Coturnix japonica: one gene and its partners. The protein of the gene in region 1 interacts with the protein of each later gene in a biochemical or structural test. Links are inferred from orthologs where the notes say so. Each region holds a gene or a part of one and is shown in the gene's direction. Other genes may lie near its edges.

The links.
Region 2: the proteins of SNTB2 (region 1) and PTPRN form a complex in vitro, tested with the Homo sapiens proteins (2 studies listed by BioGRID and IntAct). The link is inferred for Coturnix japonica from reciprocal best matches to the Homo sapiens genes SNTB2 and PTPRN.
Region 3: the proteins of SNTB2 (region 1) and DGKZ form a complex in vitro, tested with the Homo sapiens proteins (2 studies listed by BioGRID and IntAct, with this or other methods). The link is inferred for Coturnix japonica from reciprocal best matches to the Homo sapiens genes SNTB2 and DGKZ.

Annotation. Positions count from the first base shown.
Region 1 is NC_029526.1:16,870,122-16,880,152, forward strand, and holds SNTB2 (beta-2-syntrophin), read left to right. Parts: upstream 1-3,369; 5' UTR 3,370-3,390; coding exon 3,391-3,997; intron 3,998-5,836; exon of another isoform or gene 5,837-5,842; intron 5,843-6,342; coding exon 6,343-6,553; intron 6,554-6,673; coding exon 6,674-6,875; intron 6,876-6,980; coding exon 6,981-7,123; intron 7,124-7,203; coding exon 7,204-7,400; intron 7,401-7,721; coding exon 7,722-7,903; intron 7,904-7,986; coding exon 7,987-8,079; 3' UTR 8,080-8,762; downstream 8,763-10,031. Other genes in the region: UTP4 (U3 small nucleolar RNA-associated protein 4 homolog), read left to right, coding at 75-286, 377-548, 630-721, 1,008-1,104, 1,456-1,520, 1,634-1,756, 1,858-2,017, 2,139-2,245 and 4 more; VPS4A (vacuolar protein sorting-associated protein 4A), read left to right, coding at 9,678-9,698, 9,819-9,930, 9,999-10,031. UniProt on the Homo sapiens protein: Adapter protein that binds to and probably organizes the subcellular localization of a variety of membrane proteins. May link various receptors to the actin cytoskeleton and the dystrophin glycoprotein complex.
Region 2 is NC_029522.1:24,536,119-24,545,994, reverse strand, and holds the start of PTPRN (receptor-type tyrosine-protein phosphatase-like N), read left to right. Parts: upstream 1-4,282; 5' UTR 4,283-4,339; coding exon 4,340-4,430; intron 4,431-5,899; coding exon 5,900-5,950; intron 5,951-6,060; coding exon 6,061-6,174; intron 6,175-6,365; coding exon 6,366-6,471; intron 6,472-6,548; coding exon 6,549-6,747; coding exon of another isoform or gene 6,748-6,759; intron 6,760-6,839; coding exon 6,840-7,152; intron 7,153-7,268; coding exon 7,269-7,385; intron 7,386-7,473; coding exon 7,474-7,541; intron 7,542-7,629; coding exon 7,630-7,904; intron 7,905-7,989; coding exon 7,990-8,076; intron 8,077-8,148; coding exon 8,149-8,228; intron 8,229-8,459; coding exon 8,460-8,524; intron 8,525-9,876. Other genes in the region: DNPEP (aspartyl aminopeptidase), read left to right, coding at 137-262, 372-502, 741-825, 1,287-1,394, 1,627-1,704, 2,008-2,088, 2,346-2,506, 2,628-2,667 and 3 more. UniProt on the Homo sapiens protein: Plays a role in vesicle-mediated secretory processes. Required for normal accumulation of secretory vesicles in hippocampus, pituitary and pancreatic islets.
Region 3 is NC_029520.1:21,137,341-21,146,663, reverse strand, and holds part of DGKZ (diacylglycerol kinase zeta), read left to right. Parts: 5' UTR 1-322; coding exon 323-1,059; intron 1,060-1,273; coding exon 1,274-1,382; intron 1,383-1,581; coding exon 1,582-1,677; intron 1,678-2,495; coding exon 2,496-2,573; intron 2,574-2,898; coding exon 2,899-2,955; intron 2,956-4,305; coding exon 4,306-4,374; intron 4,375-4,835; coding exon 4,836-4,907; intron 4,908-5,175; coding exon 5,176-5,454; intron 5,455-5,820; coding exon 5,821-5,916; intron 5,917-6,165; coding exon 6,166-6,248; intron 6,249-6,355; coding exon 6,356-6,416; intron 6,417-6,813; coding exon 6,814-6,927; intron 6,928-7,317; coding exon 7,318-7,458; intron 7,459-7,816; coding exon 7,817-7,895; intron 7,896-8,186; coding exon 8,187-8,242; intron 8,243-9,144; coding exon 9,145-9,207; intron 9,208-9,323. UniProt on the Homo sapiens protein: Diacylglycerol kinase that converts diacylglycerol/DAG into phosphatidic acid/phosphatidate/PA and regulates the respective levels of these two bioactive lipids.

The DNA of each region.
Region 1 (10,031 bases):
AGGGAAAGGATGAAGTGAGGAGCCTGAGGTCATCCCACTCGCTCTCCATCTTGAACAACCCTTCCCTACCTCAGGCCGAACCGCCCAGAGGATCATGGTGAACCATCACGTGCCGAAGTCCAAGAAGCGCGAGTGCGTGGTGTGGAGCATCGCCTTCCTGGCCAGTGGCACCGTCGTCAGCTCGGACTCATTTGGGAGGGTGCAGTTCTGGGACTGGGAGCGAGGGACGCTGCAGGACTCCCACACTGTCAACACCTCAGCTGCCCTCTCGCTGGCTGTGTCGGAGGTGAGGTCACCCTGGGCCAGGACGGCGGTGCCAGCACCCAGGTGGCATCCAGCACTGTGCCCTGGTCGCCACAGCCCTCTCTTTCTCCAGAAAGAGGACAGCATCATGGTGGGCACCTCGGCGGGGTCCACCTACCAGATCCAGCTGCTGCCGGTGAAGGCAGGCAGCCAGGAGAAGCGCTGGGTGAGGACGAAGCCGTTCCAACATCACACCCACGACGTGCGAGCTGTGGTGCACACCCCGACAGCTCTCATCTCTGGAGGTGCGGGCTGTGAGGGGGAGCTCAGCGGGTGGTGTCCCCCCCCTCCAATAGCTGCTTGTCTGAGCTCTGCTTGGTTTCCAGGCCTGGACGCCCAGCTGGTGATCCGCCCGCTCATGGAGAAGGTGCAGAAGAAGAGCTACGATGCAGTGCTGCGGAAGTTCACCCTTCCCCACGTGAGTATGGCTCTAAGCAGGGTCCTGTGGCGGCTCCTGGGGGCACAAGGTGAGCTCTGAGGGAGCAGCCAGGCCCTGCCTGCCCCACTGGCCCTGGCATGCCTGCGGGTTCCTGTAATGCAGTGAAATGGAGAGTGGAACTGAGTTGATGAGCCTGTCCTGCTGGTCCTGCTGCGGCTCCCTCTCCTGGTTCTCATCCCACAGAACCTAAGTTGTTTCTCACCAGCAGCCCAGGTTGTTTCTCCCAGGCTGTGGTCCATGACAACGTGCCCATTTCTGCCCACAGCGACGCCTCGTCTCCTGTGCCAGGAAAGCCCGGCTCCTCCTCTTCCAGTTCTCCCAGCACCTGGAGCTCTGGAGACTTGGCTCTACTAATAAAACTGGTACGTCTGCGGGTGGCTGTTGGGTACAGACCTCTGTATTTAACCCCAGGGCAGTGTCTGGAGGACTACAGGGTGCAGTGTGCCAGAGCAGCAGAGGAGTGGTGCAGCCCTACTCTGCTTATGGTTGTGTTACCCAGTGCACGGTGTGTTACACAGTGCACAGCCATGGTGCTACTGGCAATGTACTCTTCCTGCTGAGCTGGATGGTGCCCTGGGGAGCTCAGCCTCAAGATGGCTGGGGAAGGGTCTGGATCCATCCTGGTGTCTGGTACCACTCTCCCTGGGTTTCCTGTCTTTCTTACTGGGGTCTGCATGGTTTCTGTTGTTGCTGATGCTTAGTTGTCATCCCAGGAAAGGATGGAGAGGTCCTTCCCGTGAGCCGGATGCCAGAGCACCTCCTGCAGCTCAAGAGCAAGGTAAGGCTGAACTGGGGCTGGCACTTGTGCTTGGCACCTCTGCTTCCTCTGATGGCCAAACTGCAGGTGCCAGGAGGTTCTGCAGACCCCATTCAGCACCTCTACATCCCCAGGGTCCCGAGCACATCTACTGCAGCTGCGTCTCACCCTGCGGCAGCTGGATTGCCTACAGCACTGCCTCTCGCTTCCACCTCTACCACGTGCAGCATGAGGGCGACAGCGTCAGCGTCAAGAAGGTGGAGGCTGGGGAGGCTCACAGGGAGCTGGGGGCTGTTAGTGGCACAGTGTGTGGGTCAGCAGCAGCGTGACCGCCGGTGTTGCCTTCTCCCCCTGCAAGGTCCCTGGTGTGCCCAAGCTGCTGCTCCCAGCCTACCAGCTGCAGTGTGCTTCCGACTCAGGAAGGCTCTTCATCGCCTCCGACAGAGGCTCTGTCCATGTGCTGCAGCTGCTGGAACCGGGGGGCTGCAAACACCTGCACACGCTGCGCCCGCCTGCAGGTGGGGAGCCCTGGGGCCCCTGTGGGCACATGGCTGAGGCTGCTGCCCTCGGTCTGGGACACTTTGGAGTGGTTGAAGAGTTTCTTGTGTCTGTGTAGCATTTGTGTGTGGTGTTGTTCAGGGACCCGGGAAGCTGTCTACCTGCTGGCATCGAGCGCTGATGGGAACTGGCTGGCAGCGGTCAGCGGGGACTGGGAGGTGCACATCTACAGCCTGAAACACTTCAAGGTACAGGCAGGGCTCTGTGTGGGGCCCCCCGTGGTGTCCCATGGGCACTGGGGGAGGACCTGGTGGGTGTCAGAGGGCACGTGGGGCAGCGTTGTCCTTCTGCCTTTCAGCACCACTGCACAGTGCCCACCTACAGCTGCGCAGTGACAGCCCTCGCCATCCACCCAACCACCAACAACCTTTTTATCTCCTATTCGGACCAGCAGGTGGGAGCTGTGCCCTCAGCAGCCCTGTGCTGCTTGGGACCGGCTGTGTGCTGCCATTGGGCTGATGATGGGGACCCATCTTTTTTTCCTCCGCAGCTTTTTGAGTTCAGCATCCCCGAGAAGCAATACACGGCCTGGAGCCGCGCGGTGCAGAACAGCGGGCTGCACAGGCTGTGGCTGGAGAGGGACTCCCCCATCATCCACATCGCCTTCAACCCCAAGAACGCGTCGCAGGTCCTGCTGCACGACGTCTACATGCTGTGTGTCCTCGATAAATCCCTGGTGAGCCGAGAAGGGCCCCACTGGAGCGTGCTCTGCAGGGGCTGCTCGTGTGGGCACAAAGGGAAGGGCAGGGGGTGTGCAGCACTGCAGGGGGTGTGCGGGGCTTAGTGCAGAGCTGCAGCACTGACAGCAGCACTGACAGCAGCACTGACAGCAGCTGTGCCCGCAGCCCCTGCCCGACAACAAGACCATGCTGTCCAACCAGAGCACCCTGAAGCAGCTCTCAGAGCCCGCCCGGCGCCGGCAGCTCCACGCCTTCAAGATCTGCAAGAAGTTCCAGGTGGGCAGCTGTGCCAATGTGTGCAGCTCATCCTTGGGGGCGCCCTGAGCACCGCCCCGGGCCGGGCTCCCCGTGTTCCCGGTGCTCACCCCGTTGGTTGTGCTCACCCCGTTGGTTGTGCTCACCCAGTTGTGCTCACACTGTTGTGCTCACCCGGTTGTGTTCACCCGTTGTTCCCGCAGCCGCTGCTGTTCGCGGACCTCCTGGACGAGCGCTGCCTGGTGACGGTGGAGCGTCCCGCCGTGGACATTTGCCCGGAGCTTCCCCCGCCGGTGCAGCAGCAGAAGTTCGGCACTTAGCCCCGCTCCATCAATAAACGCGCTGTTCTCGTCCTTACCGTCAGCGCTCAGCTCCGCCCCGCGTCCCCCGCCCGCGCCATGGAGTCCCGCCACCGCCTCCCCCTCCGTCCAATCGGAACGCGGGAAGCCGCCCCCGCCCCGCCCCTCGCGCCGCGCGCAGCCAATGGCGTCCCGCCATGCGGGCGGGGGGCGTGTCCTGGCGGTGGGGCCCGTGTCGGGGCGGCGCGGCGCGGCGGTGTCGGCATGGCCGTGTGGACGCGCGCGTGCAAGGCGGGGCTGCTGGAGCTGCTGCTGCGGGAGCGCTGGGTGCGGGTGGCGGCCGAGCTGAGCGGGGACGCGCTGAGTCTCACGGCCGAGCCCGGGGAACCCGGCCCGGGGCTCAACGGCGTCGCCAACGGCGGCGGAGAGTGGGGCGGCGCGGAGGCGGCCGTGCCCGGCTGCGTGCGGAGGGTGCGGGTGGTGAAGGCGGAGGCGGGCGGGCTCGGCATCAGCATCAAGGGCGGCCGCGAGAACCGCATGCCCGTGCTCATCTCCCGCATCTTCCCGGGGCTGGCGGCGGAGCGGAGCGGCGCGCTGAGGCTGGGCGATGCCATCCTGGCCGTCAACGGCACCGACCTGCGGGATGCCACCCACGACCAGGCGGCGGAGGCGCTGAAACGCGCCGGGAGGGAGGTGATCCTGGAAGGTACCGGCCCCGCGTCCCACCCCCCCAACCCCCGTCCCGCTCCCCGCCCCGGGCTGCCCTCAACCCGGCCGTGTCGGAGCCCGCTCCCTGTTGCCGTGCTCCCGGGGCTGGCAGCGGTGCCCCGGGCCCGGCGCTGCTCCCCGCGGTGCCCGCCCTGATGCTCCGCACGGGACTCGGTGCCCGCCGAGCTCCGGCTCCTGCCCGACCTGTTCCCGGCAACCTGGGGCGGGACCTGCCGGTGCGGCGCTGCCGGTGCCACCGGTGTCAGCGCGCTGCCACCCCCGCGTCCCGTCCTGATGTCCACCGGGGCCGCGTGCCGGTGCGAGGGCGGGTGCGGATTTGTGTGGCTCAGCTGCCCCCGCTGGGTCCGGGGCACCGGGGGACGAGGAGGAGATGAGCCGAGTTTGGGGCTGGGAAGAGCGCGCAGAGGCAGACAGCATCGCCCCGTGGATGTGGGTTGGGTCCCCGGCCAGCCAGGAGTGCTGACGCTGAGCCCTGTCCCTGCTCTCCAGCCCTGGGCTTCACTTGCAGGCAGCTGTGCTGGCCGCCATCAGCACAGCGGAGCAGAGCCCTGCCCTGTCCTGGGTGGGAGCTGGGAGCTGAGCTCTGGGCCCACAGGGACCTCGGTGCTGGGCAGGGAGTTTGGAAAGAGGAAGGAGGTCTGTGAGAGGAAACCCACACGTATGGGTGGGGAAACCACTCCGGTGCTTTTGGGAGGGGGCTGGTAATGTTGGGCTGCGAATGGGGGTCTGGGCTCTGCTGAGAGCCCTGTGGGTGAGCCCAGGGTGCAGCGGCCTTCCTGCAGAGAGCTGTGAGGGTGCAGCAGTGCTGGGTTTCCTTTGTGGTGAGCGTGTAGGCGTGCTGTGCCATGACAGCCGTGCTGGGACACAGCTCAGCTGGTGAAGCTGCATGTGCCGCTGCCCCCTGTGCTGCACCACACCGGTACGGCAGCTCCATGCCCTGCCTGGAGCACTGCCCCCAGCAGCATCTCCCAGCTGTTCTGCCTCTGCTGCTGCCTGTGGTTCGGTGCTGGGATACGTTTCCTGCAGTGGCCACGGTTGTACAGCCCAGCAGTGTCTGTACTGTCTTGGCCACAGCAAGGGCAGGAAAACCACCAGGTTGACTGCACCAGCACCACCCACCCAAGCATTTGGAACGTTTTGGTTGCACATCTGGTGCTGTATGGGTTCCCCAAGGACTGCAGGGTGCCCTGTGCAAGCCATGGGAGGTGGGCATGAAGGATTCATCCAGCAGCTCCCGCTTCGGGCTCAGAATCCTGCCCAGGGAGTTTCAGGGATGTGGTTGCCTGTGCTGCCGGTTGCCAGCAGCACGGCTCAGAGCACAAAGGGCTCAGCGCTCACTCCTGGGCAGGGAGCAGCAGCCCCAGCGCTCTGCTCTCCATCCCCAGCCCCAGCTGCAGGCTGCCAACATCTGGCTGCCAGCTGTGAGCCGCCTCAGGGGCTGCCGCCGGCGGAGCCCCCGTCCACAACCATCCATCCCAGGCGCTGCCCTGCCCGTGGGGATTAGAGGTGCGTGGGGAAGGAGTAATCCGGGGATAAGCGCGGCGGGAGCTAATATTATCTCCTGGTGCCCGCAGCAAGGGCAGCGCATCCCGTCCAGCTGTGTGCCGGCTCAGCAGCACCGGGCGCCCCGCGGAGCTCCCACCACGGCCTCTCACCGTCTCCTGCGTGCGGGGAGCTGCGCTTCACAGCTGTTTCACAGCAGATTACCGCTTACTCGCTGCTTTTTTTCGCTTTAATTCCCTGCTGCCCTGCGGCCGTTCCCTCCCTGCTGAGGGGGCTCCGCTCTCTGGCTGGGCCGCCCGCTGCTCGGCGTCACCCCCCGCTCTGTGCTCTGGCACGCAGCGCTCCCAGCATCTGGAACGCATTGTGTTGGCTGTCCCTGAACGTGACAGCGGGGAGCGGCGCGGTGACGGGACGGCACTCGGCGAGTGAAGGATTTTGGTTTCCTGGCGCCTACCATGTGTTTGGGGAGGGATGGTCCGCGGGGACCCGGAGTGATGCGTCCTTCCTTCCTCCCAGCCCGGAGAGGAGCGCGGGGCCGGGACGTGCTGGCTGCAGGCACCATCCCGGGGCCGTGATCGCCTGCGGCGCTGGAAACTTGGCCGCAGCGTGCGGCTGGGTGGGCAGGATGGGCAGGATGGGCTGCAGGCTGACCTCCCGCCCGCACCATTGTGCCGCACCGCCGAGCCCTTCCGATCCCCGCATCCCGATGGCAGCGGGGTGGGCCCCGTGGGCCTTTGGTTCCCGGCAGGGGTCGGCACTGGTGTGACCCCGCGTGGCCCCTCTTCCCCCCACCCTAACAGCGACCCCCTGTGTCCGCAGTGAAGTTCATGCGGGAGGTGACGCCCTACATGAAGAAGCCGTCGCTGGTGTCGGACCTGCCCTGGGAAGGGGCTGCCCCGCAGTCACCCAGCCTGAGCGGCAGCGAGGACTCGGGATCGCCCCAGCACCACGGCGCCCGTGACCGCAAGGTCATCCCGCTGAAGATGTGCTTTGCTGCAAGGAACCTCAGCATGCCCGACCTGGAGAACCGGTGAGCAGGCGGCGTTCGGGAAGCGCTTGGCACGTGTCTCTGTGCCCCCATCCCGGCCCCATTGCTGGCAGCACGCCTGCAGCCGGGCTGGCCCCGTCCCAGCGCCCCGTATCCCCACAGGCTGATCGAGCTGCACTCGCCAGACAGCAGGAACACGCTGATCCTGCGCTGCAAGGACACGGCCACCGCACACTCCTGGTTCACAGCACTGCATGCCAACATCACGGCGCTGCTGCCGCAGGTGCTGGCGGAGCTCAACGCCGCACTGGGTGGCACAGCCGGGGGCCGGGAGGTGAAGCACGTCGCGTGGCTGGCAGAGCAGGTACGGGTCTGTGCTCTGTGTATTGGGGGATGCCATCCCTGGGTGGCACCGTGATGCTGGGGAGGTGGCGGCTGGAGCTGCCCTGTCACTGAGCTCCTCATCCAGGCACGGCTGGATGGTGGGCGGCAGCAGTGGCGGCCGGTGCTGATGGCGGTGACGGAGAAGGATCTGCTGCTGTACGATGCCATGCCCTGGACGCGCGATGCGTGGGCCTCGCCGTGCCACAGCTACCCGCTGGTGGCCACCAGGTACCGGGATGGGGACTCCTGCAGGAGCTGACCCCTCACATGGGATGGATGCAGCACCGATGTCCCCCTCCCGTCCCCAGGTTGGTGCATTCAGGCTCAGGCCGCCGCTCGCCCTCGCTGGGCTCCGAGCTGACCTTCGCCACACGGACGGGCTCACGGCAGGGCATTGAGATGCACGTCTTCCGTGTGGAGACTCACCGGGACCTGTCCTGCTGGACGCGGGTGCTGGTGCAGGGCTGCCATGCTGCTGCTGAGCTCATCAAGGAGGTGTCTGTGGGTGAGTGCACAGCAGCACCGGGGCTCTGCCCGTGGGACAGGGAGTCCCCAGCGGTGATGGTGGTGTGCTGCATGATGGTGGCGTGCTGCATGATGGTGGTGTGCTGCATGATGGTGGTGTGCTGCATGATGGTGGTGTGCTGTATGATGGTGGTGTGCTGCATGATGGTGGTGTGCTGTATGATGGTGGCGTGCTGCATGATGGTGGTGTGCTGCATGATGGCGTCTGTGCCTCCTCCAATGCTTGGGGAAGTGTTGGGGTGTCTGGTCTGACTGCAGCCAGGTGCTGGGGGCAGAACCAAAGCCGTTCCTGTTCCTGCAGGCTGCACGCTGGGCGGCCAGGAGGTGAAGCTCTGCATTCACTACGAGGGCGGCTTCACCATCTGCCGCGATGAGGCGGGCGGCAGCGTCCTGTACCGCTACCCCTATGAAAAGCTGAAGTTGTCAGCGGACGACGGCATCAGGACCCTCTATCTGGACTTTGGAGGCCCAGAGGGGGAACTGGTGAGGAGGGACCCCTATCCCGGCGTGCCGTAGGACTCGGGCTGCCCCCACGCTGTGACAACGTTCTCCCTTTCCCTCCACAGGCGCTGGACCTGCACTCCTGCCCCAAGCCCATCGTCTTCGTGCTGCACACCTTCCTCTCGGCCAAAGTCACCCGCATGGGGCTGCTGGTGTAGGTGACGGCCCTGCCCCCCCCAGCTGCCTCCACAACACAAAGCAGCCGGGGAAACATGGAGCCCCCACCGCTGCCTGCCTCTCCGGTGCCTTGGGGTGGGGGCTCCTCTTCTGTGGCTCAGGGGGAGCTCAGCGTTATCCCCCGTCCCCAAAAGCCATCTCTGATCTCACCACCTGTGCCTTGCGGCGGGGCCGCTGCTCCCCCCAGGGGCTTCACTGCGTGTTCCTCCCCCAGGTGGGACCATGTTGGGCATCATTTGTCCCCCCTGGGAGACTTGTCTTAAAAATGTGGGCACTGGGGGCACTCTGGGACCTGGCGCTGTGGTGCCGGTATGGGCAGGGGGCTCAGTCCCTGCCGTGCTGCGATCACAGGGCGGGTGCTCCCCAAGCTCTCAGAGTCTGCAAACGAGCGCTGTTCCCTCCTGGGCTGGGGGCACAGCGGGACCCCTCTGGGCCTCGTGGCTTTGGGGAGGGATACGTAGATCGATGCACTTTTGCTTTTTGTACTTTACCTCTGCCCCTGGCAGGGGATGGTGCTGCTGGGGGATCCGCTGCGCCCCGGCCCAACTCCTCTGCAAACGTTTCTGCTTCCCACGGGCTGTGCCGGGAGGGCCTGGGCTGCAGAGTCCCCACCCAGCACAGCCCTTCTATTTTTGTACTCTTTGTAAATCGCTATTTATACAGACTGGTCATGTGTGGGGTTTGTGATCGGCACTGCGGGGAGCGGCCGTGGGGGGCTGTGATCCATGGGCTGTGATTGATCTATGGGCTGTGATTGATCCATGGGCTGTTATTGATCCATGGGCTGTGATTGATCTATGGGCTGTGATTGATCCATGGGCTGTGATTGATCCATGGGCTGTGGGCCCTGTGGGTGGTGGGTGCTGTGTGTATGTGGGTTGTTTTTTTGCTGTGGGTGCTGTCTGTGCTGCACATATACACATACATACACACACATACACACACACACACACATGCTGCACACACACTCACTGTTCATGCTGTCTTTGCATAGATGCCTGCAGGAATACACACACGTGTGCTGTTTATATGCTGTTTTGTGGTTGCACTGTGTATGGTCCGCAGTGTGTGTACATGGACACACCTGTATACATGGATCCATCTATATACATACGTACGTGTGCACACACGTTGCACACGCAGTTCGGGCTGTGCACAGACAGCAGCTCTGCATTGCATACAGTGAGCAGAGCAGCAGGTAGCGCACACACACACACACACACACACACACACATATATGTGTATGTACCCCCGCAGTCTGTGAGGTGTGTGTGCACTGTGAGCCCACACAGCGCCGTGTTGGCGCAGAGCCGCGATCTCGGCCGTTCACATCCCGCTGCTCCCGGTGCAGCCCCGCGCACCGACCCACGCCACGCTCACACCGACTCGCGGAGCGCGCTGTGCGCATGCGCGTGCCGTCCAACGTAGGCCCCGCCCGCCCCCTGCAGTACCGGAGGGCGCCGCCAGGGGGCGCCGTGTCGGCCGCGCACAGCCGCAGTCGGGCCGGTCCCGCGGGCCCCCGCCGCCGCCGCCGGGCCGGGTCGGGTCGCTGCGGCTGCGGCCGCCACCGGGCGATGAGATGACAACGACCACCCTGCAGGTACCGGCACCGCCCACCGGCACCGGCCGCCAACCGCCCCGCCGGGCCGCCATGGGTGGGCCCGGACAGGCCGAGCGGGGCGGGGCCGGGCCGGGCTCAGGGCGCCGCGTCCCCCCTTAGAAAGCGATCGACCTGGTGACCAAAGCCACCGAGGAGGACAAGGCCAAGAACTACGAGGAGGCGCTGCGGCTGTACCAGCACGGCGTGGAGTACTTCCTGCACGCCATCAAATGTGAGCGGGGACGGGGGGGGCGCGGGGCAACGGGGCAACGGGGCTGACGGCCCGGAATGTCCGTGTAGATGAGGCGCACAGCGACAAGGCCAAGGAGAGCA
Region 2 (9,876 bases), on another chromosome or scaffold:
CCCTGCAGGGTGCTGACTCCCCGCATTGCTCCACTTTTGCGTTCCCCTCCCTACCAAGCACTTCAAGGCACGCTGGTGGGCTCTGGGCATGCTCTTCCCGGTCCCAATCCCTGGTGTCATCTCTGCATCCATCCAGGTGAAGCGACGCTCCAAGCGAGGGCAGGTGGGCACGGTGCAGGTTGGTGTGGAGACCTATGGAGGAGGCATCTGGAACACATGGTTTGACCGTGACCTCACTGTGGCAGGAAGGGTGATCGTCAAGGTGAGCCCGGCTGGGGGCTGTGGGGTAAAACACGCTGCTGCTCCTGCCACCTCTGAGTCCTGCAGACCTGGCCCAGTGAGGCAGCTTAATGGTCCTGCTGGTATTTCAGGAGCCAAACACAGGGCGACTGGAGCAGCGGCTGGTGTGTGTGGAACGGCCCATTCTCCGCATCCCCCATCTGGCCATCCATCTGCAGCGCAGCATCAATGAGAACTTTGGACCCAACACCGAGCACCACCTGTAAGGCCTGGCTCGATCCTCACAGCTGCAGCGGTGCCCAGCCCCTGTTCTATCCCTCATTGCAGTGGGGTGGACAACAATGGCTTCACTTATAGTGAAGGGCTTGGGGATTAGCACTGGGGTGTCCTAAGGTGGCACAGTAGGTCTGTGCTTTAAGTTTAGAGTGTCCTTGCTCCATTCAGCCAGTCCCCAAGGGGTAAGCAATGGCCTGGCAGCTGCTGACACTGTCTCCCCACAGGGTTCCCATACTGGCTACTGCTGTGCAGGAGGAGCTGGAAAAAGAACCATCCACAGAGCGCACAGCTGGCGTTGCTGCAGCCCAGGTGAGTGGGTTCCTAAGGACAAGGGGGAGGCTCACTAAGGTCTCTCACATGCCATCTTTTGATCTCTAGTCCTCAGAGCTCCCTGCCAGCAAGTTCTCGTCCTTCCCATTCACAGCTACTTGCTCTCAGCTCCACTCAGAACCACTTACACAGCACATGTGCTCCACTGTTGTCTGTTCCCACCCTAGCCTGCATTCATCCTAAAGAAAAGTGGAAATCCCCCATAAAGCTGTCATGTATGGCCCCCCCTTTTCTCTCAGAGGAGGGAGGGGAGGTTGAACAATGGGAGAGAGCCCCTCACTATGCCCTGTGAGCACCACTGCTGCCCTTTGTGGGTTGAGTGCTCAGATGCAGAGTATGTGAGTAGACAGGAAGCCTAGGACTGCAGTGTGAGGAAGGAATGGGAAAGTTTCTCTGCCATCCATCACTTTGCACTGCCCACAGCTCTGCTGTTTTCCCAGACAGAGAGACACAGCCCTGTCCTGCTTTCCCTGCTCTGCTCCCAGCTGGGAGTGAAACCAGAGCAGATTGTGGAGCTGGAATTATGCCTGGCGGATACGCAGCCAGCGGTGAGTACAACAGAGCCTCCTTCTACCTGTATGCAACATGCCTGCAGGCTGGCACTGCCCAGCTCCCATGCACAGCACGCTTCCTCTGCCTGGGGCATGCAGGGCTGGGAGCTGAACCGACTGAAAGGAAATGCCTTCTAGGGGGCAGAGGTGGGGACTGGGCTGGAGACACATCACACCTGCTCTTTGTTGTCCCCAAACCTGTGCCCTACTCCTTGTTCTTTGACTGCAGACTCTTGGTGGTGCCTTTGATGAGTTCATCTTCTCCCCACGTCTGGACAACTTGCACAGCTGCTACTGTGCTCTGCAGGTGAGAGAAGGAAGGAAGGAGCCTTGGGGCTTTGTCATGGCCCTCTTGTGTCTTGACTTAGCTTTGCTGGTCTGTTAGCTGGGTCCTGTTGCAGGGATCCTTGCTCGTCAAAGGGCCTGGGGTTGGACAGTGGCTGCCCCCTTGTGCTGGGTGTGTGGCATTCCTAGCATCTCCAATGTACCCACAGCTCCTTTCCTTGGTGCCTTAGACTTTCCTGGGGATGTTCCAGCCAGTTCAGTGCTGAGCTTCCTAGGATGGGGTGGCACTTACGCTAGTGCTCCTTCTCCTCCTCTGTCTCTCCAGGCACTGATTGACTCGTGCACAGCTCCCTCCCTCTCCCAGGAGCCCAACGTGCGCCTCATTGCACTCTATGACAACGAGGAGGTGAGGGGCATAGCCGTGGGGCAGCTGGCACACACAGGGGCTCTGTGTTCTGTTCTCCTTCCACCAATGATTAGGACTTACATCCCAGCCACCCATGGAGCACCATAGGGTTTGCTCACCCCACCCTGGGCCTGGCAGGGAGTGAGTTGGAAGCCTCTTTGCTGGGTGTGGGGAGCTTGCTATCCCTCAGCTGACATGGAGCGCTGGAGGTGGCTGGGGTGTTGCTGGGTGGGTTGTGCTGATGGTCTTCCTGGCAGGTAGGGTCAGAGAGTGCGCAGGGTGCCGAGTCCCTTCTGACAGAGCTGGTGCTGCGTCGAATCTCAGCATCACCACAAAACCTGACAGCCTTTGAGGAGGCTGTGGCCAAGTCCTACATGATCAGTGCTGACATGGCCCATGCGGTGCACCCTAACTACGTGTGAGTACTCTGAACCCTGCCACGTTGCACGTGGGGACGCATCTTTTGCACTCCTGCTGGCGTAGTGGCAGGACAGTTCTTGTAATGGGGATTGCAGCATGAAACTCCTTCTCTTTTGCAGGGACAAGCATGAGGAAAATCATCGGCCAGCCTTCCACAAGGTGAGCGCAGCCTTCTGCTTTGTGCCAGACCTGCTGCCATCTGTCTGTTCAGCAGTGAAACACACAGACACTGCCCAGAGTGCAACTTGGCAGCAGTTTCACAGGAGACCTTTGTCCTGCCACACAATGCACTTGTGCCACATTGCTGGAGTTAATTACATAGAACCACAGCCCTATCTGTGGACATCTCCCTTGGCTTAGAGCTGGGGCTGTTCACTTGTAGGATCCAGGGGGTGGCACAGCATTTCTGACTGTGGGTCTCTCCTGGGCACTGGGCACTTAGAACTATGTAAGTAATAGAGTGTGTCCCTGTGCCATAGCTCTGCATCTTCTCTTTCGCAGGGCCCTGTCATCAAAGTGAACAGCAATCAGCGCTACGCCTCCACAGCTGTCACTGAGGCAGTCATCCGGGACATCGCGGCCCGTGTGGGTGTTCCCCTGCAGGTGAGCACAGCTGGGTGAGCACAGCTCCATCACCAGTTCCTGCTGAAGCCGGGTGCTGGAGGGCAGGACCAGTATCAGGAACTTAACTCTCTGCTACTGTACTTATGCCTGCTGGTGTCTGCAGTGCCCTGCTGTGCCAGGTGACCTGATGAGCAAGCTCAGGGTATAGCAGGGAGTGCGGGTCTGACCTGACCTGTCTGAAGCTCTCTGGGGGCTTTAGCATCTTAGCATCCAGACTGTGCAGCTCCCCCATCCCAGTGTGTCTCCCATTAGGACTAACCCTTCTGGGAGTCACTTGGGAGGCCGTGTGGCTCTGGGAGCAGCTGCCCACCCCATGTCTCCACTATGCAGGAGTTCATGGTGCGCAATGACACCCCATGTGGCACCACCATCGGCCCCATTCTGGCCTCCCGCCTGGGGCTGCGCGTGCTGGACATCGGCTGCCCGCAGTTGGCCATGCACTCCATCCGAGAGATGTGCTGCACCTCGGGCGTGCTGCAGAGCATCACTCTCTTCAAGGTAAGCCCCAAATCCCCTCTGCTCCCCTTCAGCCCTATTGGGAGGGCTCCCCACTGCACCGGGGCAGTGCAGCAGTACCAGAGGTGCTCCTTGCCTCTCCGCCATCCGTTCCAGCCTTCCCTGCTGCCTGCCATCCCCAAATGGTTCCTATGGTAACTTGCCTTGAGTCACTGCTGGGTTTCTATGGTGATGCAGCCCTGCTCCGTGCAGCTGCTTGCTACACATCACCCAGCAGGGAGCTGCTCCCCGTGCCCTGATGGCCTTTCTCCCTTCAGGGCTTCTTTGAGCTCCTGCCGGTGGTCAGCAGCAGCCTGGTGGTCGACTGAGCGCGATGAGAGGAAGGTTATGGGGTTCAATCCTGATTAAAGCATCTCTGTCTCAACTGGGAGTGGTTGTGTGTCCAGCTGGGGATGGGGAGGAACAGCTGCGGCTCCGGGAGCTGCTGTGAGTGTTGTAATGAAGGATGGCCTTGTGCCTCTGCTATAGGCTCAGTGCTCCCACCATCACAGCCGGGGAGCTCCGTTCCAGCCCCGCTGTGCTGTGCCGGCCTAACACGGGGGGCGATCATCGCGGGGGGCGTGGTGCGGCGGGGTGGGCGCTATTGGAGGGGCGGTGGCGGTGGGCGGTGCTGGCGGCGGGGCGCGGGTTGGCGGCGGCGGCGGCGGGGGCGCGGCCGGTGTGTGCGCCATGGTGCGGCCGTGAGCGGAGCATGGGGCGGCGGCTGCTCCGGGCGCTCCTCTGCCTCCTCCTCGTGGCCGGCCGCGGGCTGATAAGGGTCGGAGGCGCCACCGCCGCGCACGGTGAGAGCGGGGGGCTCCGGGAGTGGGCGGCGGCACCGCCCGGCCGGCGTTCATGAGGCTATCGGGTGGGGCAAAGGGATGCCGGACGGCGGGGGACGGGAGCCGCGGTGCCGTCACGACGCGGCGGGTCCGGCCCCGGTAACGGCAGAGCGGCGCCGTGCATCACCCGCACCGGGAGCGCCTCTGCCCGGGCTGCTGGGCCGGTGAACGGGATCCCCAGGGCGCTCCCTGACTGCGGACTTGCGGCGTCCGGCAGGACGGAACGGGAGCGGGGCGATGCTCCTCCGGACACCCAGCCTGGCGGGCGCTGCGGGGCCCGGCTCCGGGATATGGCAACGAGAACGGGGAGCGGGGCAGCGTCCCCGCGCGGTGGCTTCCTGCAGGACCCCGGTGCCCTTTAGCCGCCCTCCTCCGGTAGGCGCTGCCCGGGACCCCCGAGCGGGCTGGTACGCTGTCTGAGCGCTTCAGCTCGGCCCGCGTCTCCTTTCCCGGAGCTCTGGGGGTACCGGGGGCCCTTACCGGCAGCAGGGCTGGAGCCCCCCCGCAAGGGCTCGGCGGCCGCTGACTCACTGCCGGTGGGCAGTTGCCGCTCCGTCCATCCGCTCCCAGGCAACGGACCCTCGCAGCCACCCGGCTGAGTATGGGCAGATCGCTCCCCGCTCCCCGGGGCGGCCCCGCGCGGTTCTGCCATCCCAGGGAGCGGCTGCGGCCGAGCCCTGCCCGGCCCGGGGTTCCTCCCCGGCGCGGAGCGGGGCTGCCCGGCGGAACGCGGCTCCGTCGTTTCAGCACCACGGACAGCGCCCGGTCCGCCGCCCGGTCCCGGCGCCCCCGGCCCGGAGCCCCCCGGTGCCGCCCGCGCTTCCCTGCGCCCCGCGCCTCGTTCCGCTCCCACCCGGGGAGCAGGCGCTGGGCACCCAGCGGGTACCGGCCTTTTGGGGACCCCCTCCCCACTTGCCCCGGCGCGGGCTCGGCGGGCCCCTCCCTCCCCTCCCCCCGGTTGTTTTCTCGTTCCTTCCTCGCCATCCGGGGCTGAGTCATCGCTTGCTGCCGTCTCGCTGCTGACGGTCTTGGACCGAGATGCGGGGGGAGGAAGGGGGATGCAGCCCCCCAAAAAGGGGTGGGGGCCTCATCACACCGTGCCTTGGGGCACCCCGTGCTGGGAGAGCAGGTCCCCCCATACCGCAAGGTGCAGGGCCGTGCCCTCCTCTCGTAGTGCCACATGTAGGAGGGTGAGAAACGATCCCGCAGCTCGCTGCCCCTTCCCCGCTGCCAGCACCCCACAAAGCTCCAGGCTCCCCCCCTTCCCAGAGCCAGGAACAGGCTGTGCTGAGGCCCTACCCTGGGCTCCTCCACTGCCACTTCCCTGTGGAGCTGGGGCCCCAAGCAGGTGGCTGCCCTGCTAGTGATGAGCAAACAACACTGAGCTCCCCTTGCTGACTGTGCTGGGTCTGTCTGTCTGTCTGCCCCAGGCTGTCTGTTTGACCGGAGGCTGTGCTCCCCGCAGGAGGTGTGTGTGCAGGGTGAGTGCCTACAGAAGAGTCCCTGGTCCTGCTCTATCCTTGTGTGGGGCAGGAGGCAGGTGGGGCTTTACCACCCAGTCCCATTTCCCCACCGCCCCTCTCTCTTGCAGATGGGCTGTTCGGGCAGTGCCAGGTGGGCTCAGTGCAGGACAGACCGCACTTTCAGGTCACCTCCCCTGTGCTGCAGCGCCTACAGGATGTCCTGTGGCACCTCATGGCACAAGGTGAGGGCTGGGGAGGCATGGCCATGGGTTGGGTAGCATTGCACAGAGACACCATGGAGACCAGGGATATTTGGGGTACCGCTGGTTGGGAACCGGGCTGAGGCGAGGAGGGACTAAGCTGGCTCTGGGAGGGACAGGGATGACCTGAAGCTCAAGGTAGCTCCCCATCTCATGGCACCCTTCCACCGCAGGGCTTTCGTGGCAGGACGGCATCACACAGTACGTAATCTCACAGGAGATGGAGCGCATCCCCCGCCTCCGCCCACCGCCCTCGCTGGAACCCTCGCCAAGGGACAGGTAGGGCAGGGTGGGGTGGGAGGCACAGCAGGGCTGGGAGCTGAGCCCACGTGCCATCCCTCACTGCTTGTCCCAAGGTCCCTGCCTCTGCGCAGCTCCCCCCGGCGCACCCCACAGCCCTTGGCCCCTGGCCTGCCTGCAGCCCAGCACCTGGGGCAGCCCCCACCACTGCTGCCCTCGGGCCTGGCTCAGCGCTACCTGGAGCACCTGCTGCTGCCCCCGCCGCCCCAGCTGGGTTACGAGGAGGCCCTGCTGCACCCCTACTCCTACCACAAGGTACACAGCAGGGTGAGGATCCTCTCGCAACCCCTTCTCCCTGTGCTGGGGTGTGCAGTGGGTGCTGACCCAAGGCTGTGGTTTGCTTGCAGTTTGGCTACCAGGACACCACGCACCAGCTCCCAGGTGGCTCGGCCAGGCAGGGCCCCGATGCCGCTTCACTGCTGGTCCGTGGGCTGTATGGGGCTGGCCCCATGCCCTCCTACAGTGGGCAGCCAGGGGCAGAAGGTGGGCACCTCTTCCAGGATCTGGGCCTGCTTGCACTGCCCAGGGAGAAAGCTGTTCGCATGGACCCAGCCAGCACCAGGACTCTGCACAGTGCACGGCTCCCAGGTGACTACAAGGATGTGGGGCAGCGGGATCAGGCAGCACCCATGGCTGCCTGGCCATCCCCTGCACAGACAGGTACACATCCCTTGGGCCTGGAGCTCTCTGTCCCATTTGCCCCCCATTGCCCAAACCCCCAACCCACGGCACCACTTGGGTGCAGAGCTCTCACCAAATGCCGCATCCCCTTGCAGATGCCTCCCTGAAGAGACTGGCCTCCCTGCTGGCTAGCTATGGGCTGGGACTGCCCGAGCTCAGTCCCCAGCAGCTCAGCAGTGTCTCTGCCCTTCTGCAGCTTCTGCAGAGCTCCGGTGAGCAGGATGCAGGGTCCCACAGTGCTTGGATAGAGGGTGCGGGGTGCTTGCCCTCCTTTGGGATCCCCATCCTTCTCTTTCCCAGGTGCTGCCAGCCCTGAAGCACCCACAGCAAAGCGGCTCAGTGTTCAGCAGGGAGCTGCTGGGCCACAGGTGGGCTGTGTGTGTGGGGGGGAAGAGGGTGTAGCCTCCCAAGGTGACTTCCTGAGGGTCCCAGCTCCTCCCTGTCTCCCCTCTATAGGTGTCAGAGGGGGACATGCAGCATGGAGAGGAGCCAGTGCCTCCCTCCTCCGCGGTGCCACCTCCCAGGGTCACAGCCAGCAGTGCCCCAGCACAGGGGCTGGGGGGCCAGGCAGCCACCTTGCCAGCCCCCCAGGCCCAGCCACAGAGGGGGCATGGAGGGGATGAGATGATGGCAGTGGAGAAGAAGAGCTACACAGAGGCGAAGGACGGCGGTGGGGCGCAGCGGGGCACGCGGCCACCCGATGAGTATGGCTACATCATCACAGACCAGAAGTGAGAGTGGGGCCGGGGCACTGTGCAGACCCCATCCCCAGCACTGGAGCCACGTGCCCCCCTCACCCTGCCTTGTTCCCTGCAGGCCGCTGGGGCTGGCTGCTGGTGTGCGACTGCTGGAGCTCCTGGCCAAGCGTGTGCACCTTTCTACCACCAGCTTCATCAACATCAGGTGAGAGCAACACAGTGCTGCCTGGGGGTGGGATGGGCTCTGTGCCCTGCTCTCACCCTGTGTCCCCCACAGTGTCGTGGGGCCTGCGCTCACCTTCCGTGTGCGGCACAATGCCCAGAACCTCTCGCTGGCAGATGTGGCCAGCCGGGCTGGTGAGTGCTGGGTTGGGGATCCCTTCTCCTACACACCTGTTTCCCCTCTTCTCCAGGGGCTGAAAGGGGGGTGTGGGTCTCAGGAAGAGAGGGCTCCTACCATACGCCCTAGTGCTGTTGGCTGAGCTGGGGACCTGGGGCATGGTGGGCAGCTGTTGGGGTGTTCTCAGACTCCTGGAGTTTCCTTGGCCAAGGGGAAGCATCCCACTGACTGTCTGTCCCCATCCACAGGCCAAATGAAGGCAGAGCTGGAGGCTGAGCTGGGCCTGAAGATTGTGCAGACGGGAGTGGGAGAGGTAGGACCAGAGCATGGGGGCTTAAGGCTGGGATGGGGCTGCAGGGAACTGGGAGCTGCGGGGGCTACAGATGGTGCTGGGGCCACTGATGGCCCCACATGAGGCTCTGATGGGGGCTTTATGTTGGGAGCATTCTGTTCACACTCCACAGCATGATGCTGCTTGTGGGTTTGGGGCACTTAGCTCTTAGTAAAACACAAACCCATGGGGTCTGAAGGCATTTTGGGAGGACGTTCCCCCTCCATCCAGGACTTGGCTCATCCCCAGCCTCGCTTCCCTCCAGTCTTTATTTATTCCCTGGGCACGCCAGCCCTGTGCTGAGCACCCTGGGGACTAGGCAGGGAAAATGCCATCGTCCCTGCAGGGAACAACACGGCAGCTGGAGGCAGGGATGGAGCAGCAGCCATCTGCTGGGAGAGAGCCTCACTCCCCTGGGGCCACAGGAGCCATCCCATGGGGGATAGGGATAGGGACAGAGCCTGTGTTTGCAGCTGAGGAAGGGCACAGCGAACCCCTGGACCAGGGTCCCTATTCCCACCCTCCTGCCCTGGAGACCCCTTGGGAGGAAGGCTGCCGAGGCAACTGATCTCCATCAGCCCCATGCACAGTGCCATGACGGCAGTGCCTTTAGATGTGACAAGGATTCAGGAGGGATGGGGTCTGCAGCTCTGGCAGTGCTTCCCTAATGAGCAGGGCCCCCCAAAGGGAGTTGTTTGCACTGAGGGATGAGGTCCTTGTGCTGAACACCCCCAGGGCAGGGGACAGCAAGCGCTAGGCCTGGCACTGCCCCAGCAATAGGTGCAGACAGCAGGGGCATCCCCAGGCTTCGTAGGCGATGATGATGATGATGATAACAGTGACGCAGCGTCCCCTCGGTAACCTCATCAGGCCCGTGGCCAATGGGAAGCCGAGGCAGTGAGGTAATGCAGGGCTTTGGCATCTCATTGGGTGCAGAGGATTTGGTGGTGGGGCTGCCCGAGCATCCTCTCCACCCTTGGATCTCAGGAAGGACCTTGGGGGGCTCGGCCTTGGGGGTCTTGGTCTCATTCAGCGAGGGCTCAGCACCCTCCTGGTCTAGCATAGGGGCTGAAAGGCCAAGGAGGGCCTGGGGTTCAAGCTCTTGGGTTGGGTCAGGCAGGGGCTCACTGAGCCCAGGCTCTGAGGGCCCCCACCTGCCCTGCGGTCTAGCAGGGCTGGGAGGCAGTCCCTAGTACTGGGAGCAACAGGTGGCTGCTGCTTGAGCTTGTCCAAGCTGTGCACCTCCTGCACCCCAAGGGGCAGAGCTGTGAGCTGTGCTAAGTATAGGTACAAGTGCCCCATGCAGGGACACCAGCTCTGCCCCCACTGAGCTG
Region 3 (9,323 bases), on another chromosome or scaffold:
GCAGTGAGTAGGGATGGCCTTGCTAGGGCAGGAGCTCATCCGTGGAGCGATCTCACATGTGATTCTGAGGGTGTTTTCGTCAGGCTAAGTTGTGAAAATAAGCATAGACTGCCTTAAGGAAGAGCTTTGCTTTGAACTAGAGAGGCCCAGATGCTCCCAGTGGGTCTCAGGGACTGGACCCAACACCATAGCACCCAGCTCTCAGCTCAGCTGTTCTGCCTGCTTTGCAGACGTGGGGCCATCGCCAGCCCCACAGATCTGTGGGCAGCCTATTTAACTCCTGCTTTCTGTGTCAACAGCCAGCGCCCCACCGCCAGGCACAATGGAAACGTTTTTTAAGAGGCACTTTGGGAAGAAGGGGCTGCCAGGCCCACGTCGTGCCAGTGTGCTGGCAGTGCCCACGGGCAAGGCCCGCCGCCGCTCCCAGGCTGGGCTGCCCTCCGCTTCACTGGCCCAGCGCCGTCGTGGCTCGGGGGCCCCGCTGCCAGCCCTGTCCTGTTTGCCCCTGCCCCGCCGCCGTGGTCCCCGCCGTCGCTCCAGCACCACACCGCCGTGCCTCAGCCCCCGCTTTGCCGTGCAGCAGCGCGGGGGCTGCCCGCCAGCCATCAGTGCCACACTGCTGGGGCCCTCCGTGCTGCTGGCCGGCCTCCTCCCCACCGGGCAGGAGGGTGCCGGGGATGCCTCCAGCTCCTGGTCTGCAGAGGATGGCGATGGCAGGTTGGATCGGGGCAGGTGGTGGGCCGAGGAGAGCTGGCTGAGCGTATTGCCACGGCTGCGGCCGCTGCAGGTCAGGCTGCTGACACGGGGCCCTCGCTGCCTGCGCCGCACATCCTCCCACTGCCTGCCCACTGACGTTGGCTGCAGCCGGGCTCCCCATGGCCTGCCGGGCCGCTACCGTCGCCTCAGCCAGCGCCGCCGCTCCAGCAATGTCCTCTGGCCTGGACTGCTGGCCACCACTCACACGCAGTGGCTGGCCCAGCAGTGCACAGGGGCTGCCCTCCCCGAGTGCTTGGGACCAGAATCAGCCTGCTGCCCCGACGGCTGGAGCCCCAGGCTGCTGTATGTATGGCGGTGCGCAGGAGGCAATGCTTTGGGAAGGGGGGATGTGGTGGGCAGGGAGGGATGGGCAGGGCTATGTGTACCAGGGAAGGCTTCTTCAGGCTCCACAACATTCTGGGGAAGCACCCCGGGGCTTTTACCTGACAGCCCGGTGGGCTTTGACACGCCATTCTTCCTCTCCTGATCTAACAGCTGGCCTTCCCATGTTTTCCAGGAAAGCTATTGCCAAGTCCAGCCTCCAGCACATGGTAGCCCAGCCAAACCCTGCACTAGCGCTGAGGAACGAGTCAGAGAGGCAGATACGCAGCACTGTGGACTGGAGCGTAAGTGGTGGTGTGTGTTGCTGGGCGTTGTGTGGGACAGGCTCCTGGCCAGGATGCAGCGGGCTTCCAAAGTGACTTCGGCTTTGACACTTCTATGGCCTTCACTGTGCCACCATAACTTGTCCCTGGCACAAAGCAGTTTGGGACAGGGTGATCATTTGAGGATGCTCAGAGGAGCACGTTGTCTTGTGTCTTTCAGGAGACTGCAGTCTATGGGGAGCACATCTGGTTTGAGACCAATGTCTCTGGGGATTTCTGCTATGTCGGGGAGCAGAACTGCATGGCCAAGCTGCTGGTAAGTCGCCTGGGGTCAGCCGCATCCCCTGCGTGCTCCTCAGCTGCGTGCTGTGCTGCCACCCAGCGGAGAGACCCAGAAGGCCCTGGTGCTGGGAGAACTGGGGGGCTGGCAAGACGTGTTCCTCCGTCTCTGTGTGCTGCAGCGCTGCATGCCCAGTGTCTGCCAGTGCTGCCATTCAGTTTGCAGCAGGTGCCCAGTGCAGGGCTGCATGCAGCTGCAGGTCACTGCAGGGAGAGGTTGTTGGGATCACACATGCTTAGCGGAAGAATCTGAATTCAGCTTCTCTGGAAAAAACTTACAACAGAGGGGAAGAATGAGTGGAGATCCAGGTCTGCTGTCTCCTGTCCCTGCATGCTGTACTGGAGCCCCAACAGGCCTTGCAGCAGCATAGCTGCACTTCTCTCTCCCTGCTTGCAGACTCAATCCTGCTCATGGTGCTGGATGTGCAGCACTGATGCTACCGTGTGCCTGCCCCCTAGCCTCATAGTGCCTCTGGATGAGCCAAAGCTCTGGGCCAGACCACGAACATGCTTCCCAAACAATGTCCTATGTTGTTCTCTGGCAGTGTCAGAAGAGCCAAGGACTGCTTTGTCAGTGGGAGAGCACTTCCCTGTTGTGCTGCAGACTCAGGAGCATCTGCTCTAGGCACATACTTAGATCCTGTAACTGGCGAGGTGTCTAGATTGTATGAAACTCCTGTACTTGATTTTTACATCCTGAAATGTATGAAGGAAGTGTGAGAAGTGGTTGAGTTTCTGGCCTCCTTACCCTGCTGTTCACATGCATGTTTTTCCTCCCATTTTCTCATCCTCCAGCAAAAACCTCTCTCCAGGCGTAAGTGTGCAGCATGCAAGATCATAGTGCATACACCCTGCATAGAACAGCTGGAGAAAGTGAGTAAAACCTGTTAAGCCCTCTCTGTGGCTTGCAAAGCTCTGACAGTCTGATACTGGCCATTCATCTCTCTGGGGTAGCATAGGAGGGTTGGAAACTGAAATGTGTTGCTGGAAGGAGGGGTCCTATGAGGAGACAGTACCAAAAGGAGCGCTAATTACTCAACTGGGACCCCTGGACCCATTTTGTGTGGCGACAGAGGTGGTGGGTTTTGCAGTCAAGCACTGAACATTGCCAGAGGTTCTGCTATAGTAAAATAAACTCCAGTAGGTTTCCTCTTGGTGGTGATTTTACTGATTCCTATCATATGTATTCAATCCACAGATAAATTTCCGCTGCAAACCTTCCTTCAGGGAGTCAGGATCTCGGAACGTACGGGAGGTGAGACATGAGCCTTGGATGCTGCCTATGGCTGAGCTGTTGCCTTTACAGTTTGGTTGCAAAGGGATCAACTGCTGCCAGCGTGCTGCCTGTCAAAGTGCTGGCATTGCTCTGCCTTCTGGCTCCAGAGGGGAGGTGCAGTAAAGAATACTTCCTTGCCAAGCAGCAGTACAGTCTGAGTGTAAGAAGAGAGGAGACTGCAAGCAAAAGACAAAGCATCTGCTGCTTTGCATGTTATCTAGCTCCTGTATCTGCATGGGAGGAACATGCAAACAGGTTTTCCTGAGAGGGGCAAAGGACCTTTCCTTTGCTGATGTCCAAGTCAATAGAGGAGGCTGTGGCAAGCAGCAGTTCCCCAAGTTTCCCATGGATTGGCAGGGGGCAGTGCAGGCTCATTTCTTGCTTTATTGCTCAGCTTTGCCCTGGATGCTACGGGTGCTCCATACAGCGATGGAAGGTGCCCATGGTGGTGCTGTTAGACCTGTTTTGTCTGCGCTGTAATGTAGTGGGTGCAAGCTGAGACCTGGGACCTCTCTGCTGAGCTGCACTGGCGAAGCACCTGCCAGCCTTTGTAGCTCATCCTCCAGCCTCTTTCCAATACTCCTCAGTTTACCTAGGGGCCTCCCATTAACATAGAAAAGCATTCTTCCAGAATTTTGGCTGCCTGGGTCAGTCCCCCTACAATACTCAAAGACTACACTGTAAGGTATCCGTTCTTCTACCATCAGTGAGGCTGTGGGCAGGGAGAAGGTACCCATGAGCAATTCTGTTCCTCTCCTTACAGCAGGTCAGCAGGATTTTATTCGGGGAGAAGGCATGGGGGCTTTGGGGCTACTTCTTTCCTTGAAAAATACTGTTGCTAGGAGCAGGCAGTTGACTTGGCTGCAGGCACTCCCATCATCTTGCTGTGTGCAGAAACTGTGTCTCACTGGGGATTTTCACTTTGCACTGGCATCTTTTCTACCCTTCACTTCATGTCATCTGGTCAGAGATATTAAGAGATAAAGATGTGATTTATGGCCAGAGTAACGTTATAGTCTACTGCTTACCCACTCTGTTGTTCGCTTTCTGTGATTCTATCTTCAATTTCTGATGCTTCCTTTCTGATTTGGTTCTTTGTTTTATCTTGTTTTGATTTAATTTCCTCTTTTGTGAGCACCACAATTTGGTCTTGTGCCCCTAAGTTCTTTGGCTTTGCCTTCTTAGAGGTTAGGTGCTGGTGCAGATGGGCAGCAGGCTTACTGCAAGAGCAGAGGTTCTGGCTGGCCTGTGTCTGTTTCTCTTGCCTGTTCCTGTGTCTTTGTATGCATTGGGACTTTCACTTTTTTTTTCTTTATATTTTCCCTTTAGCCCATAGTTGTCCGGCATCACTGGGTGCATCGGAGGCGACAGGAAGGGAAATGCCGGCAGTGTGGCAAGGTGAGAGGCTTCTTGGTGTGTTTTTCCTCAGCCTGAAGGGGAGCTAAGATCAAACAAGGGGCAATAGCAGGACTGGGAAGTAAAAGAATTCCTGCCTAACATAACGCTATTCCTGCTAGGTAGGAGCAGCCTATAGCTAAACCAAGACTCATGGCCTGTTTCACACAGTGAAGCACTACATAAGTGCTACTCGTACAAAGTTGTTCTCCCCCTGGGCCCCATCAGTCCTAGAGGGGACTCACCATTCCTCCCGACTCACTATTCCTAGGCAATATAGATGCTCCTGCAAAGAGCACAGCAACCTCCCTGGTGCTGTAGTGTGGTGGTTGGGGTTATCTGACAGGGATCTAGAGGGCTGCAGCTGCAGGCATGTTCTCTTTGTTTATGTATCTTGGAAAGCCCTTCTGGACGGTGAAAAGCTGTAAGGGAATTCCCTAAGCCTCTTATCCTTCTCTCTGCAGGGTTTCCAGCAGAAGTTTGCCTTCCACAGTAAGGAGATTGTAGCCATCAGCTGTTCTTGGTGCAAGCAAGCGGTGAGCAAAGCCCCATTGAATATCTGCTCTAATGACCTCTGCTTTTTGCTGGGAACCCCCAGGCTTATCCTCTGCAGCCTGCCACTACAGCTACTCTTACCAACATAGCTGGGAGCTGCTATGGGAAGCTTTCTTAGTGCCTCCTAGGAGAAGCCTTTCCATTACAAAACTCCTGCATCATTTCCTGCAGCTCTCCTTTCACTGGCACAGGGCAGCTGGAAGGAGAAATGGAGTAGGCTGAGTTTTCTCTGTCTCTCTGCTTCTCCAGTATCACAGCAAAGTGTCCTGTTTCATGCTGCAACACATCGAAGAGCCCTGCTCACTAGGGGCTCATGCTGCTGTCGTCGTTCCTCCCACCTGGATTTTGCGGGTCCGACGGCCCCAGGTAAGGCATATCAGTTCATGTGTTTTTGCATGGCTCCTGTTTACCCAGCAGTTCCTCTATAGTGTTTGGGTTTCGTTTTTTTTTTTTCAGAATCCAATGAAATCCAGTAAGAAAAAGAAGAGGACATCATTCAAGAGAAAATTGAGCAAAAAGGGTGCTGAGGTAAGAGATAAGAGGGGCTGGGGGTGACCTTGTGTTGGAAAGGTAGAGGTGCTGGACAGTGAGGAGCAGAACTGGGAAATAAGGGCTCTTTTCAGGGTCTGCACTGAGGTATAAGGTAGAGGAAAAGGGGTCTGGGACAAAGAGTGTTTTGGGAGTGTCTGAAGATCTCAGAGGGTGTCACAGAGATGAGAAAGGCTGGGAGGTGAGTTATGTTTGCTGGCAAGGCATATCTTAGCTATTAGGTTTATGGAGTGGTGAGGATATTCTCTTCCTTCCACTCCTAACCTATGTGATGTTAGGGCTCAGCTGGAGGTAGGAGTTTGCATTTCACTAAGTCTGTTAATGGACCTGCGGTGTTTCTTGCAGGAAGGGAGGTGGAAACCTTTTGTCATCAAACCCATGCCAGCTCCTCTCATGAAGCCGTTGCTGGTGTTTGTGAACCCCAAGAGTGGTGGGAATCAGGTATGGCCTTGCCCTTCATCTTCCTGAGAAGGCAGCTCTTTGCCATTGGCTACTGAGAGCTCAGAACAGTTTTGGTAATGTGTCAGCTGCAAAAGGGAAAAGAAACCTTTGCTGTCTGTTTGCTTCCAGTGCTGCCCTCTTAACCCAGACTTTGCCTGAGTATCCCAGAACACCTCTGTATTGACTTGTCACCAGGCTTTCTTCCCACTGTTCACTGCTTGTTACCTGAAATCTTTCTTATCCCCCTAGGGAGCCAAGATCATCCAGTCCTTCATGTGGTATCTCAACCCACGGCAAGTTTTCGACCTCAGCCAGGGCGGTCCCAAGGAGGCGTGAGTACTGTTTGCTGTATTTCAGTTTACTCCTGCAGTAACACCTTTTCCTGGCTGCAGTCTCAGTGTCTGTGCCCTCCCCTCCTCACTTTTCTTGCTTTCCACAGGCTGGAGTTGTACCGCAAGGTCCACAACCTACGGATCCTGGCATGTGGGGGAGATGGCACGGTGAGTCCCCCAGCCTCTTCACACCCACACTACCCTTTGCAATACCTTTTTGGCAGCCCTTCTCACTGTAGTTCAGAACAAGGCAAAAACATACACATTGTGTCTGTGATACAGCTGGTAGCACTGGCTGCTGTAGATCCCCTCATGCACAGGTCCCAGGTGGTCTAGCTGTGTGGAGTGTCTGCATTTGTGGCCCATTCAGGGGGACAGTGTCCCCGTTGGGGCTGCTTGTATCTCCTGCTGCACCCATATGAAGTATTAAAGAATGTGAATAGTCTCTGTAGTAGCAAGGGAATCCTGTCTCTGCCTCTTTGGCTATGGCTAGTGCTCCACATCACCTTCACCTGCTTCTTGTTCTCTGAAATAACCAACTATTCCTCTTCACTCTCTTTCACAGGTGGGCTGGATACTCTCCATTCTAGACCAGCTGCGCCTCAACCCACCTCCTCCTGTGGCCATCCTGCCGTTGGGGACAGGCAATGACTTGGCCAGGACTCTGAACTGGGGTGGGGTAAGTGACAGGCAGAAGAGCCAACCATGGCCAGGGCTGGAGCTGGACAGAGTACTTCGTCTGGTGCATCTGCACCAACTTTTCCTAAATGCAGACCAAAAAATAATAAGTGCCTTTTGGACATTACTGTTCTTCTGACATTCAAATTATTCTGAATTAGATTATAATATATTAGAACATTAATAAAGGCAATAATTTTTTTCAAACGTTTGGGAGATTTCTAGAATGAAGATGCATTGTTTTTAAATGTAAAGTCCCGTTTGGATGTTGTGCATTCAAGTAGAAACTCTTTTTCACATACTTTCCTCTGAGATGTTTTCCACAGTCCACTGTCTCTGAGACACCCCTGGGAGGCAGATAGAAAACTCACCGGGTTCTCTTCTTCACTAGGGTTACACAGATGAGCCTCTGTCCAAGATCTTGTCACATGTGGAAGATGGGAACATTGTGCAGCTTGATCGCTGGAACCTCCATGTGGAAGCAAATCCTGAAGCAAACCCTGAGGAAAAGGATGAGGCAGCTGCTGACAAGGTGAAACATCTCCTCTCTGCCTTTGTTCCCTGTTCCACAGGAGTGTCTGCTACTCTTATGCAGGGCAGTGGGTGGGCTGGGTGCTGCCATAAGCCCATGCAACTCCTGTGCCTGGACACTGCCTGTCCTGCCTTGAGGCCTGTCCAATGCCATGAGGCCACTGAGGACAGAACAGCAGAAAAGAGCTGGCCCACCACCTCAGACTGGTCACCTCTATGATGTCCTGGAGGGACGGCTAGTTCCCACTCACCCTCGTGAGCACAGTGCATGACTGCCTTGTCTTTGCAGTGGCCACACACTGGCAGCCTCATTCTGCCAGCATGAGGATTTCCAACCTTGTTCCTCTCTTCCATTTCAGCTTCCCTTGGATGTCTTTAATAACTACTTTAGCCTTGGTTTTGACGCGCGGGTGACGCTGGAATTTCATGAATCCAGAGGTACGTGGCATCAGGGTGCAGCAGGGCTGCAGTGTGTCTGCAGTCAGGGACACCTCTGAGACACATCATAAATGCTCCTCAGAAAAGTAGACAAGAGAACTGATACCAGAACAGAGGTGAAATCAGAGGGATGAGAGGAATTGTTGAGGGAAAGAGGGATGTGTGCAATGGCAGTGAGCTGGGAACTGTCCTGGCCAAGGCTGGCTGGAGAGCGATGTTTGGGGAGAGCAAGCGAGGAAAATATTTACATGTTCAGGCCAATGACTTGGATATTTTTTCTCCTTTCCTTAGAGGCCAATCCAGAGAAGTTCAACAGTCGGTTTCGGAATAAAATGTTCTATGCTGGGGTGAGTGCATGAGGATATCTAGGCATGCCCATGTGGATTCAGCTGGAACATAGGCATGGCCCCAGCTCCTGTCCATTACCTCATTTCACTCCTCTGAATTACTGTGGCTTTTGTATACACCTAAGCTGAGCCCTGTCCCTGAAGCTGGAGAGGTGCTGGAGAAGGTTTGCAGCACTGGGAGCTGCAGCTCTGCCTGGCTGCAGACACTGCTGGTGCTGCAGCTTCCTCTCTGGCCTGTGGTACAGTTGCTCCCTTGATCTCCTGCCACTATTGTTCTCAGGAAGGCTGGCCCTCCCGCAGGGAAGGGGGAAGCCATTCTATAGAGTCCTCAGGCTACTTTGGTCTTTTATTTTTTTAAACCTTGAGCCATTTGCAGCTCCCTGGCTAATTATGCCTTCCAGAGCTTTGCATCTTATTGTCTTAACTATTTGTCTGTCCCCTCACCCACAGTATACCTTCCTACCCGAGTGGTGGGGTGACTGGTATTTTATCAGTACTGAAGGCCAAGTGCTGCTCTGCACCATCTCACATCTCCCACCTATCTCCCCTATCCTGTTATCTCTAAATAGTCATATCAGTGTTATGCTTGAAACTGAAATTGTCTCCCGTAACCCAAGTGTCTCAGTAGAGAAAACCCACCTTCCCTGAAACAGGGACTGAGCTGGCAAGGAATGCTTGGGTGTGTTACTGAAGCTGTGAGGTGTCCCAAGGTTTTTGGTAGGCAAACTGGCAAGAGGAATGCATCAGGTTGTTTTGGGAGGGTGAGAGAAGAGGGCTTCTGCCAGTCAACGGGGAGAGGGTTTACTCTTCTCAGCAGCTGGGGTTTGAAGGTGGGTGGCAGGCTTCCTGGATACCCACTTCAGTGAGTGTCTGGGCACTAACTCTGTCTCTTGCCTTGACAGACGGCTTTCTCCGACTTCCTCACAGGGAGCTCCAAAGATTTAGCGAAGCACGTCAAGTTGGTTGTGAGTGTGCAGCAGTGCTCTGGGCCAGGGAGGGGGGCAAACTGTGTAGGGAATGGGGAGCAGCTGCTCTAAGCACAGTGAGTGTCTTAGGGCTGGGGGAGAGGGTGCGTTCCTTG